Linked DNA regions of Lepisosteus oculatus. The protein of the gene in region 1 purifies or fractionates together with the protein of each later gene. This does not show direct contact. Links are inferred from orthologs where the notes say so. Each region holds a gene or a part of one and is shown on either strand. Other genes may lie near its edges.

What was found. Proteins that work in one complex are often made in the same cells at the same time.
Region 2: the proteins of ribosomal RNA processing protein 1 homolog A (region 1) and ddx21 purify together in Homo sapiens (affinity purification with mass spectrometry; 3 studies listed by BioGRID and IntAct, with this or other methods). This does not show direct contact. The link is inferred for Lepisosteus oculatus from reciprocal best matches to the Homo sapiens genes RRP1B and DDX21.

What each region holds. Positions count from the first base shown.
Region 1 is NC_090710.1:1,214,730-1,226,119, reverse strand, and holds the start of ribosomal RNA processing protein 1 homolog A, read right to left. Parts: upstream 4,742-11,390; 5' UTR 4,703-4,741; coding exon 4,573-4,702; intron 4,039-4,572; coding exon 3,956-4,038; intron 2,019-3,955; coding exon 1,961-2,018; intron 1-1,960. Other genes in the region: rsph1 (radial spoke head 1 homolog), read right to left, coding at 8,629-8,795, 9,947-10,067. UniProt on the Homo sapiens protein: Positively regulates DNA damage-induced apoptosis by acting as a transcriptional coactivator of proapoptotic target genes of the transcriptional activator E2F1.
Region 2 is NC_090699.1:30,702,838-30,713,537, reverse strand, and holds the start of ddx21 (nucleolar RNA helicase 2), read right to left. Parts: upstream 5,532-10,700; 5' UTR 5,453-5,531; coding exon 5,369-5,452; intron 4,902-5,368; coding exon 4,614-4,901; intron 3,609-4,613; coding exon 3,459-3,608; intron 2,136-3,458; coding exon 2,060-2,135; intron 758-2,059; coding exon 579-757; intron 1-578. Other genes in the region: hypermethylated in cancer 2 protein-like, read left to right, coding at 8,860-9,280, 10,131-10,700.

The DNA of each region.
Region 1 (11,390 bases):
GATTCCAAAGCATCCAAAATCACTTCACATATAAAAATAGAGCAATTTAATCCACCAAAATGTCAGCCTCTTACAGTAGAGTATGTAATTAGGTAAAGGACTGAAATCTGGTCTAAATTACCAACAAGATATTGTGGTAATTGTGCCTCTACTGTTACAAAAACACAATGTAGAGCAGCAGCTAGGTTTTTCTAAGAGGTCTTACATCACTGTATTAACCATGTTCAGTTTAATGCAATCTGTAGTTATCAGGTTAGGGTGGGGACACTACTGCCAAACTACAGTACAATAAACCCTTGCTTTAACAGACATCACTTGGGCTTGGGATTTAACACACAGGATCTAGAAAAGATCCTTAAAAGGACAACTCACTTTGTGTCTTTATGTACATGATTTAACATTGAGATTCCAAAATGAAATAAATGAACCTATGGAAAACCTTTGAGTATATGCACTGAAGTGATAAAACCTTTCCATAAAACAATGAATTAATTAATGATGAAGACATCAGATCACATACAATGCAGAAATTTATATACATTCAGTATGCATATACACAGTATATATTTTTTCTCACTAATGTATTTTTTGGGATCACATTATCTTGTTGGTAATTTAATGGACAGCCAGCAATACCAGACACTCCTTCCCCGCATTCCTCTATTAAAGCAAGCGTTAAATACAACATAAAAACAATAAATTATATAAATATGTACTGTATGACCAGATAAGCTGCATCTATTTTGTGTTTCCATGTCTGCAGTTTGAAATGTATTGCAATCATGTTTTGCTTGTCCCTAATTACTAAAGGACATTACATTAGATTTTGAGCCATCAATATATTTCAGCCATGAATTTCACATGGTCACAAATAACTAAGACTACTACTTCTGAATACTTAAAAGTTTAAAAAGTCTACAAAGAACCTTGTAGCCTGGGCTCTGTGACCTGGAGCTGAAAGTTCTAATACAGACTCTTAGGGTGAGCTCACACCCTAAGAAGGCTCCACAGCTAAAACATTGTGTTTTCTTTCTTCTCTTTTCGGCATGGAATTAACCTATTACTTGTTACTTTGCAGCCTACGCATGCTGACACAGCTACCCATTTGAACTACTTTTAAAAACTATATCTCTTTGACCATGGAAGGCACCCAAAAACTGCCTAGATCAGGCTGTCCCTCCAAACTGAGCATCTAGGCAAGGCGAACAGTGGTCACTGATGCAACCATGAGGTCAACAGTGAATCTGAGATACAGAGTTCAATGGCTGAGATGGGGAAAAAATGTGAATAAGTCAACAAAATCCCCTATAGATCACTTCACAATGCTAGTCTGTATGGAAGAATAAAAAAAAACATCTCAAATCCCACATTTCTCTATAACCAAGCAATACAATAAAGCTTGAGCAAATCGTCCAAGAAGAATGGGCAAAAATTGCATCAAGCCAATGTGCAAAGTTGGTAGAGACTTGGCCAAACAGAAATATTTAGTTTACAAGTCTTAATATTTAACATATTTCAGTTTATTTCTCTTTTTAGTTTCTGAAGACATGTACTATAACTTAAAACCCGAGTCTTTCCTCTATATTCTTAGTAAAATATTAAGTTTAAAAATAGAGTATTTTCAAGAAAAGGTACACCACAAAGTGTCTGAATTAATTCGCAAGAAACCTTTTACTTTATCATACCATTAATAAAGGTACTTTATATAATTGCTTATAAGAAAATATATCTTTATATAATAGAATGAAGCATCTTATCCAACAATTATTTTAATACAGGGTCTGTTTACCCTTTAGTAAATTGGGTCTAGTGATGGGACATGATGTTTAAGAACTATGTGATTAATATAATTTAGGTGAAAACAAAAACCCCCAGATGCTCCTGCCTATGAATGAATATCAGAAAAACACAGTGTCCTACTTTCAGAGTGATACCACAAGGTACTGTACAGACAACTTACTGCTGTCCATACTCTGGAAGACATGAATCAGATTGGACAGAACAGCAGACAGCTCTTCCTGCAAACCAGAGCAGAGAACAGACAGCTTATTAGATGTAAATTCCATTCTGGGAACTGTTACGTTACAATTACAGAACATTCTGATCCAGAAAAATGAAAAAACAGCAGAGGTTATTTCTTCTCGCACATACTTTGCAAGGATTCACTTGGCAATCTTAGTACAATATGAAAATGCTTATGTGGGAAGTAGGTACCACCTACAAATATCAGAAATCTAAAAATAAATCACCCATTTAACAATTATATTCCACTGTTGAAATAAAGGAACAGATCTTATCATTCACATAAAATGTAATTTGCAAAGCCCTAGAAAACCTCTTAGATGTGCTCAGAGAAATCCAGTATCCACAGCTGTTGTCCTGAAGCAAACACAAAATGGATTTAGAGTGAACCATTACTGCTCATTTTATTCACTCCTTCAAAGGTTATTTATTCAGCCCATCAGTTTGAAATTCAAAAGCATAAAGGTCCTTTATTGAATTAATCTGTTTACTTGTTGGTTTACAATCTAAGTATGCTCCTCCCTCATTGGTTGTTGAGACTGTTATTAAAATTAATTTTATTTAATATAATGCTGTTTATGATACATTTTCCCAAGGAGTTTCACAAAAAACACAGACAGGCTTACACAAATAAATAATAAAACCAATTTTTTTTGATGCAGCCAACAGTAGAAGCAGAGGTATATAAATGCATTTCAACATCAATGCCTGATGTTCAGGGTGCTGCATGCAATTAGCATAAAAAGCAGGAAACACTATACTGAAAGTCATTTACGAGAACAACTTAAGTGTTTATGTTTACATTATTATCCTGCACTCATGGTGTGAAAACAATAAAAAGGTGACTTCCGGTGAAGCAGTAATAGAGATCCCGGCATAACTTTTTAGCTCCTGGTGTTTGAGAGTGAAACCCTACAAAATTCAACTATTAAAAAAAAAACAAGAAAGGTCAACCGAAACAAAAAGCACAAGAATCTTCCATGGTGAGAACAGATGACAATGACCACTGCTCCACAGAAAACAAATAAAAAGGCAAACTAATGTAATATATAATTAAATGTGTAACACTTAACAAAGGGATGTTATGTTAAAATTGTATAATGCACTATTGGTCACCATGGTACAAAAGATATAACTGCTGTAGAATCATAACAGAGAAACACCCAGATACAATATGGGCATTGAGGGAATATCTTGCACAGAATAAAAAAGAAATGAATTTCTTGAGACAAAAGTCTATGAAGAAGCCATTTAAGGATTGAAAAACAAAGGCAATGAAAAAGGGCCAACCTTTCAGAATGGATGGAGAAACGTGAACCTGATGACACTAGTGGAAACGATGTAGGAGAATGGAACGGGCATCACAGCCAAGTTGTTGAAGCTGATTCCTAAGCTTCTTAAGAAATGGCTGAATGGGATACTTGGATCAAATAGCTACTAACTTGATAAGTTAATACACCTCTGCTAACTACAAACTAGGATGAAAAGATCTAATTAATCTTTCAGAAGGATAATGTTCAAAAGCACAAGACTTCTTTATAAAGTGATTTTCCTGCCATTCAACACTGGCCAGGTAGCTTGCTGCAGACACCCACAACTTTGTGTGAAGATGGTCCTCCTGTTCTCAGTTTTAAATGCACTTCCCTTTAAGTCCCACTTCTGTTGTTTGCTGGGTTTCACTTTTAATTATGAAAAGTCAAACTGTTGACCTTGAATTCAAAGAAATATCCCAACCAGAAGAGGTTCATTTATCCACTGTAGAAAAAAAACTTAAACAGCCAAGACTGGGAGATGTAAACATGGTTCTCCTTATTGTTAAGATGACAAAACCCAGGACTTGGATGATCATTAGTGTGTTTGGTTATTTTTTCTGGAGAGACCTGGAAAGTCGCTTCACTGCGGATGACATTAGGATTAGGATACCCTGACTTACCTGTAACAGGGGTTTGTCTTGCATCCACATGCAGTAGAACAGACCCTTCCAGATTTTGAGCAATTCTTCACTGGTAAACCCTCCTGCAAAGAGCACACAAGTTCTGATATGATGACATATCTTAATTGTGATCACACGCAAATCGTAAAATTCCTTCTTCATGGAAGTTTTTACCACGTGTCGGTGAGCACTGACTACTATTTTCAGGCCGTGATAAAAACACTACCTGTATAATTCACCTGTAGCATATTAACTAAACACGAATAAAGGTCACATATTAGTTGTACTACAAAACCAACAAAACCAGAACACACGCGACTGGATTTACACAGAGAATGCATTTGAAAAGCTTACATCCACAGTAACTTTGTTGAAGTTAACGTCCACGTAATAGAAATGTAGAACTGCATCACTTCAGCAACTAAAATGTACTGGCTATTTCTTGATTAAAAGCAATGGAAACTGCTTTTTAATAAAATCCGCTATGTGTTACAATATATAGGTCCAGAAACGTATTAGTACTTTTGGGGAAAATGCTAGAACTCAACAGCCCCCACGTACATGATGTAACTACGCTGATTCCTACACCAATCCTGCCCGTTGACCAATATATTTACCTTTTTGCTTCTGTGAACGAATACCAATATATTTTTTCAGCTTCTTAATAGCCCTCGTTCGAATGGGTTTCTGGTTAGAAGCCAGTTTCTGAGCGAACTGAACCTCAGGACCTTGCAGTAGTAACGCCATCTTTTTCTTTTTTCTTCACGTGTGGGACAGGGATTCTCGTCTCCGAAACACGTTGTAAAACAGTCGCAGTATGATGACATCATCACCGCCGGCTCTGCGGTCCTTGCACAAATTCGAGTGGACAGAATAGATCATTGTATTCTAAAGCGAGATAAAATTGCTGGCTCTGAAGAGTGAACATTAAAATCACTGAGAGAGAGAATAATATTAATGCGGAGGCTAAACAATGCACTACTTTTTTATACGGAAATAATACAAGAACAAATGGTATGTGAGATAAAGAACAGAGCAAAATAGGAAATGTGCTAAATTAATATTTCATGCAGGTTTTTACAAATGTCGATAATGTGTCAAGGGTTATAAGAGCAACTCCATCAATATTGTGTAGTTTTAGAATAAAACTTAAGTTATTATTGAATTGAGTTCTTATTGTAAAAAGAGTTTTTAAAATATTAATTCTCTGTATCCCTGCATTATTTTCCTGATTATACCTAAGAAAATTAATAATGTTATTCACAGACCGTTAACAAATATTTTCCAACTGTCACGAGTTTGGGAGCTGTGCCTACAGATTGGAGAAATGCAAATGTAACACCAGTGTATAAAAGAGGGAACAAAACTGAACCAGGGAGCACTCTAAGCCTTCTGTGACTGGTTGAATTATAAAAATGAATGTTGATCAACCTAGAATATTTACAAAATAATGGTTCAAGGAGTTAGGTAAGAGGGATTTCGAAAATTACGTTTTTATTTTGTTTCAAGAGCACTATACTGGGGCATTAGGGCCCCAGTATAGTGCCCTAATACTATACAGTATAGTGCCCTAATACACTGGGTGAGCACCCAGTGCTGGCCCCACTAACACCTCTTCAAGTTCAAGTTTATTGTCATTATACTCATGTACAGGTACTGTATATGGTATAACGAAATGCTATTTAGCTAGCTCTCAGATGATAAGTAGTACAAAAAAACAACAATAATGTTATGGTATAATAAAAGAAAGACAGAGACAATAGGCAGTGTGCAAAAACAACAAAAAGGTAACAGTAATGTGCAAAACAACAGCAGATGTGCAAAAACATGCATCAACAGAATGAAATAAAAGGATAGAAATTATGGGGAGTGAGCTTTTGACATGTAAGGTAGAGGTAGATTTCAATGTGTGTTTTGAGTTTTTGGTACGAAAGAAGGCACTGTGAGGTTCAGATCATAGGTGAGAGGTGAGGTGAGAGTGAGAGAGACTGGGAGTTTAATAGTTTGATAGTGCGGGGGTAAAAACTGTCTCTGAGTCTGGTAGTCCGGGCCCAAATACTCCGGTACCGTTTTCCAGATGGTAGCAGATCATACAGTCTGTAGCTGGGGTGTGTGGGGTCTTTGATGATGCTTAGAGCTTTCCTCAAGCACTGTCATAAATGTCCTGTATAGATGGGAGGGAAGCCCCAGTGATGGACTGGGCAGTTTTCAACACCCGCTGTAGGGCTTTGCGGTCAGCAATACTGCAGTTGCCATACCACACAGTGATGCAACCTGTCAGTGTGCTTTCTGTAGAGCATCTGTAAAATTAAGTGAGGATCTGGGAACACATCTTAGCCTTCTTCAACCGTCTTAGGAAGTACAGGCACTGTTGCGCTTTCTTGATCAGACAGGTGGCGTTGAGAGACCATGTGAGGTCCTCAGCGATATGGCCGCCAAGGAATTTGAAGTTACTGACCCTTTCCACTTCAGTCCCGCTGATGTGGATAGGGGCATGTCCGTTTTGCAGTTTCCTGAAATCAACGATCAGGTCCTTGGTTTTGCTGATGTTGAGGGTGAGGTTGAAAAAAACTTTTGTTTTTCCCAGGTAGGCTCCCATCCAGGTACTGACCAGGTGCACAGCTGCTTCAGTGGGTTACCAGATATGAGTTGCAGGGTGATATGGCTGCTAGTACTTAAGTACTTTTACAGTAAGTACTTAAGCTGGATTCATCAAGATGTTAGTTGACTAGCAGCCAGCACAAGAAAAGTATTTTAAGCCCATCTGTTCCTTTCAGTTTTTTTTAAAAAACAATAATGTTTTTTTTAAAAAAAAACACTAATGAAACAGTATTTGTTAACACTATGAATAGCCCCAGAGATGGATGTGGTGAATTTCATTAGCAGGAAAGCATGCTTAGTAATTTTAATGCATAGACTACACCCAAATGTTCAGTAACTTATTCTGTTTCCTAGTGCCTTGTGTGTCAGATAGCCCTGATGTCCAGTACACAGGAAATAGCTAATTAGAGGTTCAATACTAGATCTACCACTGTTGCCAATATAACCTTGCTCATAAAATTAAGCAGCCTGAGGCCTAATCCAGCAGTTTTATAGCTACTATAGTGCTTTGCAAAAGTATTTACCTGCCTTGGACTTTTTCCCTTGGACTTTTTTTTTTGTGTTAAAGCATGGAACCATGATGTATTTAACTGAGAATCTGTGCCACTCATTAACACAAAGTACTCTATAATGTCAAAGTGACAAAAAATCCAGACATTAAATTAATTTTATTTTCTCATGTATCTTACAGTACTGTATATATCTATCTCATACACCCATTACCCAAATTCTTTGTCTAAATTTTGAAGATTACTTAAAGCTGCTAACGTTTTTCATTGTATGTCTTTAATTGTTAATGTGTTCATGTTGTGTTAAATGTACTAAACACATCAATTTCCCTTTGGGATCAATAAAGTCTTATCTATCTACTATGTATTGTGTTATGTATTTTACCTGCCAGAAAAGCAAATTTCCCATCTGGGATAATAAAGGAGGTAAGAAAATCGGAGTTCTCTTAAGCACATTACTTTCTTAACTAATGAGTTACCTCCACTTTTTCACAATTTTGTAGAAACTGATGATGCAGGGTGACCTATAACATTTACTGGACTGGATCTCTGCTACTCCTAACATGAAAACGTGCTTTAGTAATATATTTTGATTTACAAAAAAAGCTTCTGAAAAGGACCCTTATAAAATGTTGATTCTTAAACAGAAATGATAGTTAATAAGTGATTAAATTTACAAATGATACAAAATATCGGGGGAGTGGCAAACACAGATAAAGCAGCAATGGATTTACTAAAATCATGGAAAATTACAAATGGTATAGAAATTGAAATGTTGACAAGTACGATCCACACAGGATGTAAAAACATAGACTATATACTGTACTGTATATATCACATAGATAATTCAGAACAACAGAAAGCTGCACTCAAAGGGCAGGTTATGTACTGTACAATATCCTATATGCTTATCAAGAGAAAATTTTTCTATATACACATAGCAATGTGGATTTTAATTCGGTGAAAGTTCTATTCAAGCCTTACAATGGTTTACTAAGACCTTATTTAGAATATTGTGCTTACTGTTGGACACCAAACCATTAAAAGAATAGTAATAGCCTTAGAAAGAGTTCAAAGAAAGCAACAATAATTATTCCTAGTCTAAGAGAATTGATATACATGACCAGATTAAGGTACTACAGCAAAATCACATCAAAGCAAGACTTTTCAAGATTTATGAACAGAAATAATTTATTTGTAAAATGCCAAGTATGTAATACAAGAAAGACAATATAAATAATCATAATGTATTAATGCTCTCTGTTGTTTTATGTTTGCTTACATTTAATTTAAACATTTTGTAATTTAAACTGTGAGCCAACATGGATAAACAGATTATTTATCTTACTTAATAAATGTAACAATCCACTATTCAAAACATAGAACTAATTAAATGTGCTTGTTTGAAACCCTTATTATGCTTTAAATCATTTTACTATTTTTACTTTGCTTTAAAAATGACAAAGTGTAGACCTAGTAAAAATATCTATTTATTCATGCCTAAAAGTACAGCTGTATAGTTTTTCATTTAGTGGCAGCAGTGTCTCTGACGTGCTGCAGCAGTCACTCCTCTACTTCTTCGGGGGCAGTAGATAATGCCTGAGTCCCCTCTGGCTCCACCTCAGGCTCTTTTCCCACTTCAGAAACCAGGTCTGTTTCCTCTTTGTCCTCTGCTATAGTAGGCTCAGGCCCAGTGGCCTGTATTTCACTCTCTTTCACCTCCCCAGGTGCTGCATTGAATAAACAAAATGTAAATATTTCTACATTAAAAAGGTTCTACAGCAACCTTGTTCAAGATATTTAGAGGCCCCAGCCTCTGAACTAGCCATACCCAGCTTAGTAATGTAATCATATATCCAGTAAGAACAACAATTTCCAGGATAATCACAAAGTACAGACCCATGTTGAACTGGACAGGCTGATTTGCACATGTGTTCTTTTTCTTTCCAATCCTCTTCTGCTTGATTATTTCTTCTTCACTCTTAACACCATTTACTACCACACTGATATAATTTATCATATGTCACTACTTTGCAAAGGGTCTGTAGGGATTGATAAGAGAGTGAAGATAGGAAAGAGGAGAATGGTTTTGGCAACGCTAGGCAGGAACTAGAATAAGGAGCCAATGGTAGGATTGGAATAATGGAGTAGCATGGGCTAAGTGAGGAAGAATAAAAAAAAGCCAAGCAGCAGATGTCTGGAGCGGACGAATGACGTTAGCAGGAAACACTACAATTGTTTAGGCAGGAGACTGCCTAGGGCCTGTACTAAAACTTGTTCGGAAAAGGACAAGGAAGGAAAGACCATGTTCTGAGCAATGTGCTAGACAAGAAATGTGTTGCAATGCTTCAAGGTTCAAGGTTCAAGGTTCTTGAAAAATAAGGAAAGGGGTGATGGAGTCAAGAGAAAAAGACCTCATTAATGTCCAGAGAGAGGAAAGAAAGGAACGGAGAACAAAACAGGTCAGACTTTGAGGAAAGTTTAATATTATAGGACATCAGCCAAGAGGTGATGGTTGTGGAAGAGATACAGGAGAAGACAGAGTAAACAACAGAATGAAAAGAAAAGGATTTGAGCATTATCAACACCAAAACAATATTGAAAGCCATGGGAACAAGTGAGAAAACCCAAAGAACAGGAGTAGATGAAGAAATTAGGGATAGATAAGAGTAAGGACCATTTCTGTGTTATCAGAAATGTAGGAGACAAAAGTGTGCAGAGGAATAGATTAATCCACACTGTCAAAGGCACCACAGAGATCAATAAGTATTAAGACAGAGGCAGCACAACACAAGTTAATTTGTTACAATCAATAACACAGAATTGTAGTTTATCTCGAGTGTGCCAAGTAAAAACCAGAATGGAAAGGGTCGATGTCCACCTGCTGGCTGCTTCTTCAGTTCCTCGACTGGAGTCCAGAGAGTCATGGCAGTCACTTTGTCTGCCTTCCACTTCAGTACAGTGGCACTGATGGGATCCTCATCTTCCCCTTCACCTTTATCCTGGCACAGGAAACAGACCACTTTTGCTCTTTGAAGAATGTCAAACGAAGAAAATAGTGCAAACAAGAGGAAACCATTCATTCTCTACTGCTTGTTTGGTTACTAGTAACTTAATGACCCAGGAATCCCATGTTCATAAAGCATGCCACAATGACAGCTTTAACCATTTTTCTGTTTGTAAAGAAGTGTCTCTCCTATTTCTGTACACTATGCTACTGAGCTTATTTTCCATACAAACTTGTGTAATCAATCACAGTATCCCATGGATTGTCTTTCTCAATACCTTTCACAATTCTGAATTTTCAATTAAGTCAACAAAGACAGCTTTCAGAAATCTTTACACACTTATAGGATTTTTAAAATTTTAAGCTTTTTGTACCAGTACTCTGCTTCTTCTTACCCTAAATACTAATTATTCACAATATTAGGTTTTCATGTGTGTTGTGTCTTGCTAGATTTATACTTTTAAAATTTTATTGTGACATTCAGAAAATTAGAAACAACCCTACCTCTGAAACAAACAAAAATTATACATTAGTGTTGTTTTAAGAATATGTTTCTGTAAACTGCTGCAATTATTAGTTCCAGAGGTGACAACGCACAGTATGCCCAGACCAATACACTACCCCTGTGATGCTTAATAATTTGCTTAAAGCTTGGTGGAGGTATGTCATCTCTGGAACTAATGATTGCAGAAGAATTACTTCTAAAGTGTACAGAAACATTTTGTCTGCTTATGTGCTTTCATAACTATTCAACAGTGTTTCATCATGCATGATCATGCAGCATGATAATGACCTTATTGTAGAAACAAGAACAAGCAGTACTGGCTGGGGGAATATAGGCAAACAGAACGGAATAGGCACAGTGGGCAATACGTCATGCTTCACACATATAAAATCAAAACAGCAATCTTAAATAATAATTTAAGATTAATAGTTCATAGTTCATAGTTAATAACTCACTATGAACTCTATTCACAAAGACTAAGCACAAAGGTTATTTTAAAATAAGATTCTGTTTTGATCTTCACGTTAGTGTAAAAATTACCTACTATTTTAGATTATTGCTAACTTAAGGAAAAGATTATAATAATTCCTGGGGAGATTCCTGGCCAATTCCTTGGCGAGAGTTACTGGTAAACAAGTAAATTACCAGAGCTTGAAAAACCACTGTTGTAACAAAACATACTGTTACAAGTTCTCTCATATTGCTGATTCTGAATAAAAAGAATGTGCTAACAAGTTTCAAGAAGTCATATAAATTATTGAAAAATCAGTGATATTGCCTTACTGTCAGAAAATGTGAAACTTTTTAAAAATA
Region 2 (10,700 bases), on another chromosome or scaffold:
ATCCAGATCACTGCAATAAGCAATTCTGATGGACCTGTAGGTGGCGCCTTTTCCCCAAACCAGAATTTCCAGATCAATGTCCCAGCATGGTGCCTAGGGACACTGAACTGCAGGGAGGTGCCGTCTTGTGGGTGAGATGTTAAACTGAGATCCGGACTACTTGGTCATTTAATATCTCATGGTATCACCCCCATGGCCTGGCTACACTCCTCTGTGAGCTTGCACAAACTGGCCTCCCTAAATTCCCCCCTTTATTCAGCTGAAGTGGTTTGCCCCATCTCCTGTCTGATGTGCTGCAGTCTGGGTGGGCCTGCTGCTGCATGTCACCCAGATGAGGACTGTTTCAAGGGAAATCCCAGCACTGGACAGAGCAGTGGCAGTGTCATGCGAGTCCTGACCAGGGCCTGCAGCCACTGCAATATACAACCTACAGTATATACACACACATATAACCAAATAAAGGGATACGAGTAACTGGCTGGGAAGAGAAAAGTACAGATGCCCAGCCCGTCAAAAAAGTGGATGGCAGAGACAGGTCTTGAAAATGGGGTTAAACCCAAGCTGTCCGTTCACCCTACCTTGGGGGGTCTCCCCCTCTTCCTCTCTTCAGGAGACGACTGCAGCTTCTCGATGAGGGGAATGGCGAAGGAGAAGGTCTTTCCTGTGCCAGTCCTCGCCTGACCAACCACATCGTTCCCATCGAAAACGAAGTCGAAGGTTTTCACCTGGATGTCAAACAAGTACGTCACGCCCCTCGCTGCACGGAGAAGGCAGGAGACGCAGTTAGAACCCACAGGGACACGGTTACAGCAGAGGGACAGGAAACCACACAGGGAGTAATGTTAAATGTCTTCAGATTCTGCAGAGGGAAGCCATAGCTTACTTTTGTGCACCACACCTACATTGATAACAGAAAGATATGGAGATCAGCAGCTAAGCTGCAGTCCTCTACCTGTTAAAAATGTCAGACTGTGAGAACATTATCTTCGAAAACAATTCTTCTAGGGTGAGCAACAAAGAAAAAAGAACAGCAGGATAAGTCAAAGCAGACTTTTGACAATAGATTTCCACATGTCTGAACTCAATGGTAGTATATGCTTAAAGGTTCCTGTAACACCCAAAATAATTTTTGGTAAATGATGCCCTCTAGTGGGCTTTATTTGTCATGCACATCAGCTCCATTTGGGCTTAAAACCAGCGTTTCTAACTGATTTTAAGTATCATAGGGAAAGATATAAAATATAAACAGCACTTATAAACTCTACTAATATTTCAAGAAATAGACCTGTGCTTTCATCTCTCATTTATGGGTTTAATGTGGATGAAGTGGTAGTTCTCAGTAAGGAGAGAGGTACATAAAGACAGACCATGCTTGTATTATTGAAGTACAGGGGTTCTTTTTCTTGTGTTTTACCATCATTGTAAACAGTAACATAGCACAGAAATGACTGTATTAGCTGCCAGCTAACATCACTCACGGCCCCCAGAGAAGAAGAGAAGTGAATGATGATGCTCAGTGAAAGCACTGTTGCTTATAAGTCAGAATGCAGTAGCAGTACAGAACAAAAATGAAGATATCGTGAGATCACTCTCCAATGCTGTGCTGGGTGGCGAGTCCGCAGCTGTGCTGCGACAGCTCTGTGAAGTCCTACAACTGTCCCGCAAGAACACCAGAAGACACGGAATAACATACGGAGACCCATAAACCAGTGTGTTTATGCAACCGTTACTCAAGACACAAAATTTTTTAAAGAGCAACTCGATTAATGACTGGACTGGAAAACACTATCCCCCTTGGAGTACTACCATGACAGAAAAGCATGAATTTTAAGCTTCATCCTCTCTTGCATGTGAAGCACACTTTCAAATAAAAAGAGAGTCTCTCTCTATTGTCATCCTCTTTCAACCTCTGCCGTCGTCACACAGGTGCTCTGGTACTGGGTGGGCATAAACTAATCAGCATCAACTCACCAACCATTTTGTTGCTAATCAGTCAAAAGAGGCACAATTACAGGCTTAATACTGGTTTAAAATGGATAGGTAAGACGGGATGAAATACCTTGAAGAAGCTGAATGGTTTCTTTGGAGATTCGGAAATTGGAGAAGGCACCGGCTTTCTGTTCTGGAGTTAATTCCTAAACACATACAGAACACAATGGTACTTCAAAGAGAGGAACAAGTGTAATTCCAGCATCTATCTTAAATCACTGCATCTGAGGGGTATATATGTGTGTGTGGGGAGGTTCAAATACAGTGCAAAGTCAAGCTTTACATGTTTGGCTGAACATCAAACTTCTACCTTGACAGAAAAGACATGTTGCAAAAAGTGGTTCAACAATGCTGCTGACAAGTTCATATGCACAAACTTTAAATATTCTGACAGAAAACATGCATAAGCAAAGCCAATCCTTGCGATGTGTAACACAGCACATATAAGGCATTCTCCAGTTTGTAAAAGAAATGTAGCCAGAATGAAATGGACTTCCTTTATATGACCCGTTCAGAAAACACCACCAGTTTTTTTCCTCTGGAGTGATTTCAACAGAAACATTTACCACCAGGAGTATTTAAACACTGACAAGAGGCAAAGTATCAAGTGCCTGTGAATGCTGTGATCTGAAGTCTGAGTAACCAAGGAAAAAGGCTTTTTTAGAATTAATAATGCACAGTCTTAGGACGCAGTCTTAGCAGAATTTCTGCAGGGTGTTTGAAATTTCAAATAGAAATATTAACAGTGAAAGTAGTGGTAATGTACTACACTTTAAGTTATAAGCACTTTCAAAGAAATAAAAAACGGCACAATTGTGTAGAAACTAGTAAACAGAAAATAAATGCACAGCCAACTGAATTAATAAAACCAAGAGTATACCCAAATTACATATTAAAGCAACTGTGGAAAATAGGTCTTTAAGCAAGTTTTAAAAAACATGTCAACAGAACTCAGCAGAGTAAGAAGGCCTAAATCAATATGTCCTACATTAAGAGATGGAGTTAACACATGCAATAAGCCTTAAAATAATCAGGTGCTAAGCCGTTCTGTGCTTTATACGCGAGCAGGACATCGGTGTCCACTCTAAATTTCCAATTATTTTTTATAATTATATAGTTAACGAGCTTTTACGAAGTCCTAGAAGAACTCTTGTAGTCTACATTGACGACTGCAGGGGACAAAAAAAGTCTTCATGAAGGAAATGCCCACTTAATTTAAAACATCTTCACTTCCTTTCTTTTTAGTAAAGCTCCACCAAGCCCGATTTTATTTCACTTTTCAACTGAACACCAAATAGACTAGCACACGTAACAAACAGAGTCACATGAAGGGCGGACGTCAGATAATTAGGATCTCTTTAAAAGAATGTTCCATTAAAACACACACACGCAGGTCTTTCAAGTAAAACCGAGGAGCAGGCTTTGAGCATGCCGGTTTAGAAACGCGAAGGACCAGCCGGATTTCATACCTCCGCTTCCTTCTCGCTGTCGATGCTGGAGTCCTCGCTGGAATGAGACGGGGTGAGCACCGAGGCTCCCTGCTCCGGGGAGCTGCTGGCTTGCCGTTTCAACTTCTTTGTCGAGACGCCATTGACGACTGCCTTCCCCGTCTTCTTCGGCTGATGGGGAAGCGAAAAACACCACAACGTTCTTTAGGGCAGCTGATGCTGTTGGAACTGATGGCACCACAGGATGGGGCGGGGGGCAAAAGTGTGTTTTTCTTGGGATAATTACATCTCGTGCTGCTCTGAGATCAACACTATTTTTAGTGGTACTGCAGGTATAGAGGTCAAATGCTGGGCTATGACTGTGATTTAAGAAGCGTGTAGGGAACATTAAACATTTAATGCCAGCAGCCATACCACCCTGCTACCCACACCTGGCAGCCCACTGAAGCTCAGCAGGTGTGAGCCTGGTCAGTACCTGGATGGAGACCTCCTGGGAAAAACTAAGGTTGCTGCTGGAAGAGGTGTTAGTGGGGCCAGCAGGGGGCACTCACCCTGCTGTCCATGTGGGTCCTAATGCCCCAGTGTAGTGATGGGGACACTATACTCTGTAAAAAGGCTCCGTCCTTCGGATGAGACGTAAAACCGAGGTCCTGACTCCCTGTGGTCATTAAAAATCCCAGGGCGTTTCTTGAAAAGAGTAGGGGTGTACCCCTGGTGTCCTGGCCAAATTTCCCATGGCTCTTACCAATCACGGCCTCCTAATAATACCAATCTATGAACTGGCTTCATCACTGTTCTCCTCCCCACTAAATAGCTAATGTGTGGTGAGTGTTCTGGTGCACTATGGCTGCCGTCACATCATCCAGGTGGGGCTGCACATTGGTGGTGGTGGAGGGGAGTCCCTATTACCTGTAAAGCACTTTGAGTGGAGTGTCCAGATAAGCGCTGTATATGTGTAAGCAATTATTAATAACCTGTGAATGCCAATTTTTTCCTTCCTTCTAAACATAAACACTTAAGTAGCCCAATGGCACTGCACTCCACCGGGTATAAAGATATCCTAGAGACTGAACTAACTCCAGATGTAATCAAAAGAGCTACCTTCTCTAACGGCATTAATACAACACGTGTAAATGGATAGCTTTAAAACCTGACCAGCAGATTCACAAGCGTTACCTTAGGCTCTGTTTCATGGCCAGAATCACTGCCGGATTCTTCACTGGAATGAGGCAAATCTTTCATTAATGGTGTTCCATTGACGGATTTGGACTTGTGTTTCTTTGCTGAGCTGCCCCTGACGGCGTCTCCGTTACTTGTCGTTTCAGAGGCTGGTGGCTCTTCGACAGAAGCCCGCTTTTTCTTCTTGGGAGGAGGTGTGTCAGTCTCATCGGGCTGCCCTTCCACTGTTCCCTTTTTTTTCTTGGGTTTCTTTTCATCCTTAGATTTCTTTCCCTTCTTTTGTTTCTGCCGAGCAACAACAAAAACATACTTCGTCCAATGTGTTTACAAGCAATCCAAGTATATACCCAACATGTGGTACCTAAAACGCCTGGCACTTGACAGCGTGAACCATGAAGATGTTTTGTGGATAAAACCCACAGCTCACTGCCTTTACATAAGCATGGCCGTTTTAAGTATTTGAACGTCACACTTTTATCATGTTGTCTGACAAGTGCTACAATAACAAAACTACATTATATAAATATACCAGAATGTAAAGATAAATTAGTAATACGTATTATTGATTACCTTAGTCAAATGCTACTCTGTTGTCCCGTCATAAGAATTAAATCTACTTTCTCAGAAAACGTTTAAATATCTCACACACGTGTACACTCTCAGACACACGTGCTTGGCATCCATGTAACTTCTGACTGGGTACAGTATAAACACGAATGCTATTATAGCTATAAACCATCGCCTTTCCCCACCTTGGATGGCTTATAGTCCTCCATACTGGTGTCAAGATCGTCTTCCATCCCGATGTCTTCACTTTCAACAATCTTTCCCGGCATTTTCACCCGATAAGTTCTCCCAAAGACGGGCTCCTACTGCCGTCTCGGCGACAAAGCTAACAAGGAAAGAACATCCCCCTCCACAGCAACCATATCCGCTATCAGGACTACGGCAAGCTAGAGACGCCAAACAGAGCGCGTCGCTCCATGCGGCTGAGAGACCAGCTGCGTGTACAGAAACAAGGTGTTTATTCACTGGAAGTGGAATAAACGTCAAGACGTGTAGGACTCCGGTAACACCAGACTAAAAACAAACAATGCAAACGTGGTGAAAATAGTTTGTACCTACCTAGATAATTGCACTGTTTCATTTTATTGCTACAACACTTAAACGAGGGTGTTTAAAACTCATTTTTCTTACCTCTTCACCAACCTTGGTTTGCCAGTAACACGTTGTTTGAAGGCTGCTCTGCTCAGTAACTGCATTCTACAGGTGAAACATCAAGGCTCTTCAACACCTGGGATCGAGGAGAGTGTCCCTTTTGTCCCAAAGACCACGTAAACATTACACTAAAAACAAATATTCATCCACAAAAGAACAGTGCGTCGTGGAGAAATGGAACTAGCTGGGAGAAATTGAACTCGCTGAAATAAATGTTTGCGGAGTTATGTTGCATCAATAATTATTGGAAATTAGTTTCAGAATTTGTTTACGTGGACAATTGGGTGTTCTGTATGTAATCTTAACTGAAAATGAGCCTTCAGCGCTAAGCAGTGGAGTGCTGTGAGTTTGGTGCCACTGAGATTGTGCATATTGCATGTAAATAAGCGCGTTTATTTTGTATGACACGGATTTTAAATATACCCACGACTGTTAGTTACCACCTATAATGGTAACCTATAGTTAACATCTATTATGTATTATTTTTGTACATTTTAATTATCATAGTTATTTCAGAAGATAAACATTGAAATGAGTGGCTGGATAAAGCGTAACGAGACGCTTAGTTTTATTTTCATAAATTGATTTTTTGTTTTGTTGCCTGTAAACGGATGTTTCGCAAATATTCCTCGACAAGAAGCTAAGAGATGTTTTACAAAGCTGAGCAATGCTTAATATCAGTATGAGCCATATTGTTTATTTTATTGTCCATATTTATTGCATCCATTAACACAACGCTTTCAGTTGATCTTTAAACATTGTAAGTGATCCTTTGTAATCACTGCGATATTATATTATAAAAAACTTAAAAAGTAAATAATCGCCTTAATACAATATCCCTCCAGCGATGTCAAAACAAAATGTTCATAAACTCGTCCATTTCAATTCATATTTTATTACTATCACCTAAGGGCAATTTGTTTTGCGATTTAAGTTCAATACAACAACACAACCTTAACATTAAAATAAAACATTAACTGAAATTCACTACCACGTCTAAACTGTATATTACAGCCGCGGATCTGTCACTGATTAGAAGGAAAGACCTATCCTGGGACAAGGGGCGTGTTGCAGCGGCACTGGAGAAGCCTGGGAACACACTTTTTAAGGAGCTGAGTGATGTGTGACGTCATGGTGGGGTGCCCCCCCCCCCCTTACAGATGTCTGGTGCTCTGGTGTGACGTCTAGCTTGTCTCTAGCAGCGGCTGATGGTATTTTCCGAATGGAAGCGCACGTAGCTTCTCAGCTGAGTCTTTAAACACACCCGCGGCGTTCTGGATAGCCAGCATGGGCCGTAAGGCTGTGATTGTGTCCGGTGGTCAGACAGCCTCTGCTATATACTGACAAACTATTTCTTCATAGTTTTTTAACTAAACACCACAGGTATGTATTTTATTTTACCAGCTGCTTTAAGAGGATGATTATACATTCAGAATTTCTGAATTACCACTGTTTTGAATTTGTGCAAGGAAAAGAATAGTGAAAGGAAAAGAAGGAACAGATTTCTGAAGTCTTAGTTCATATTGGAATTAAAATGCTTCTATACGACAACGCAAATTAGGTTTAGAAACTAAAAATGATTTATTTTTTAAAATTTGTGTTTAGAAACGTTTTTCTTGTCAGCTCACTTTTACTAATTTAATGGCAGCCATTTGTCATACGTGACATTACAAAATGTGCACAGTAAATGCTGTATATGGTGTGTGTGTGTGGAATATAACTTTCAGTAAAAGAATATCTGCACCGAATATGTAAAGTTGCATGGACGTGAAAATGCATTACGCAGCTCAATTAAGTAAAGTTTATTTCAGATGTTTTTATTTAAAGAAATGCATTCTATTTTGATTGTGAGACAGGAACCACGACTCGGTGAGAAGGGTGTTTTAAGAATCCCGCAATTTAATAAGATGAACATGTTTTTTTAAATCGCAGAATATAGGGAGGGTGTTTACCTTCAAAAATAAATTGGAAACAAATAAAAGCGAAGAGAATATGCGGTATTTGTTTTGTACCTTAATGATTAAAGAGCAGCTTCGTGTCGATAAGCGCACGAACTATTATCTCCGGAAAGCGTCATCTGGCGACAGCCAGGCGTTTTAAATAAACCCGCTGCAGTCGGCTCTAGCCTGTTGGAAGCTCACAAGGTCTTCGGTCCACGTGGATATCATTTACTTTCCATTGCGGTGGACTGCGCGCGAGAGACAGATCTTGTAACGGCACTGGACTCAACCCCCTGAGCAGAGCTGGACCTCAGGCTAGGGGGTCACATGTGCGTGTGTATGCTACTCCTTTTACGGAATAAAAAAAAAACGGAGCGTCATCAGGAGGTGGGTTATCACGCTGGAGCCTCGAGCACAGGCAGTGTCCTGGGGCAGGGCGCTCCAGCGGTGAGTTCAGAGACCTTGACGTCAGGACAGCGGGACTCCACTCCCCTATCTGCAACAGACAGAGTCACGTAGGGCTCGCCGTTGCGAAACCGTGTGATTGTTTTCGAATGAAAGCGCACGTAGCCTCTTGTCCTGGCCTGTCCGCAGGTACCCGGGCGCTCGCAGGAGACTTCAGGGAGAGCAGAGCGGGTGCTTATCCCCCTAATTAACTGTAATTCTCCATAAAGTGTGTATCGTCACCGCAGCAGCTTAATGCCGTCATTTACCACTACTCTTAGTACTTGTAGTGATGCAGGAATGAAAGTGTTCAGACCCAGTACACCATACAGGCTTTGTCTGATGTTGTATCTAATTTCTTGTTAATGCCAACCAATTTATTTCCTACTCCTAACGTTTCTGGTTTACGTAAGTATTGCACAGCAGAATTCTCCAGTGCATAACAGAGACCGAAACCTATTTCTCAACCTGATTCAGAAACAGAATACATTTAAATGGTATGTAGTGGAAACATTTAAAAGGAAAGTCTGGTGCACTCTGTGTATTTGTCCCTTTCTCTCATTCTATGTGAATTACTGTACTGTATGCGGCTCTGAGAAATGAATGGAACACGCAAATCTGTCTTCTCCCTTCTCTAGGTGATGGCCTGTCCTCTCCCAGTCTCTTCCCACGCCCTCACTCTGCTGAGGGAGCTGAACTCTCAGAGGCAGTCAGGCCAGTTCTGTGACTGTGTGATCAGGTTGCAGCTTCACCCTGAAAAACTCTACATAGCCCACAGAAGTGTCCTGGCTGCCTCAAGCCCTCTCCTGGCTTCCCTTCTCCCCAGTCAGGGCTCTCTGCTCGATCTGGGGTGCCCTACTCTTACCCCTGAAGCCATGGGGCTGCTCCTGGAGTTCATCTACACTGGGACGTTGCCACCACTCGACCTGAAGGACTCTGTGCTGTCGGCTGCTGTCTATCTGGAGATGGAGCAGCTCCTGCAGGCTCTCGGCCACAGAGGGGCTGCGCTGTTGGGGTCACCAGGGCGAGGAGAATCAGCCCCAGTGAAGGAGCAAGCATCAGGTTGGGTGCAATACACAGCTCTGTTATCTGAATGCTTGCTTTTGCAATTCTTACATACTGTATGTCTAAAGCTTCTGTCTTAACTATTAATCCCCTTTCTGGAATGTATGTGTGCAATACTGAGCCAATGCCACTTTTGCGACATACTTTGTCTCTCCCATATGCCTTAAAAATAGATGTACACCATTTAACACTTTAATCAGGCTGGAAACAGAACAAAAACTGTAGCACAAATAACTTTAACAGCATCACTTGAAATGCACCATGATTATAATGCACCAGGGGTGGTGTGGTGGGTCTCTGGCTAAGGATCTGGGCCTGTGGCTGGAAGTTTGCCGGTTTGTATCCTGCGGCCAGCAGAGGAATCTTACTCTGTTGGGCCCCTGAGCAAGGCCCTTAACCTCAGCTGCTCCAGGGGCTCCATATAAATGGCTGACCCTGCGCTCTGACCCCAAGCTTCTCTCCCTGTCTGGGTGTCTCATGGAGAGCAAGCTGAGGTACAGTATGTGAAAAGACAAATTCCTAATACTAGAAATTGTATATGGCCAATAAAGAGCTCTTATCTTGACACTTGATTTACATGGCTGAAAGTAACAGGATCTAGTATCAAAATGTTTCGATGTTCACTTTTCTCAAAACACATTGAGAAAAATGAAATGGTTGATGCATGTATTTTTACTTATTAAAATTCACATGTAAGTATACCTTAAGCATAAAAATAGTATGGGCGTTGCAGGTGTTATCTTTTGAGCTCTTCAGAATTTAAAAACTAAAGCAAGCATAACATAGAAAATGCTGTTTTAACAAACCAGAAATAGTATCCTATTTATTGTGTTTATGTATTCCCCAGCAGAGTCTGAAGCACTCAGAACACACCGGAAGAGGCGACTGGCAGAGTACCAGCCAGTGCCAAGAGATCTCCCGTCGCCCCTGCTCAACGGCAAACCCGAACAGACCACACCACTGGTGCCCAGCTGCGAGGTCGTTCCAGTCATTCGGCGTGCAAGCACAAGAGGAAAACCTGAGAAGACATCCTCGTTCCCAGGAACGCAGACTCCCCTCCCGAGCCAGATTCCTGGTTCAGACATGCTGGACTTGGGGTTTCACTGCGGTGAAAGCAAGGAGGCAGGTAGCGGCGACCAAGGAATAACAGTGTCTCGCTCTGGAAACCAGCCCAAGAGTCACGGATTACAGTACGGGACAGGTTCATACGGGATTTTAAAGCAAGCCAACTGGCCTTCAGCACTGAGTGGCACTGCCGGCGCTGAGCCCCCCTGCCCTCTCAGTAACCCAACTGCAGCTGAATCCGAGAGCAGCAAGACGAGCTCTGAGAACAGCGTCATAATCAGCAGAGCCGCGGCGTTGGCAGAAAGCACAGGTCCCCACCGCGCCGCCGTCACCGAGTGTGACGATCCCTGGG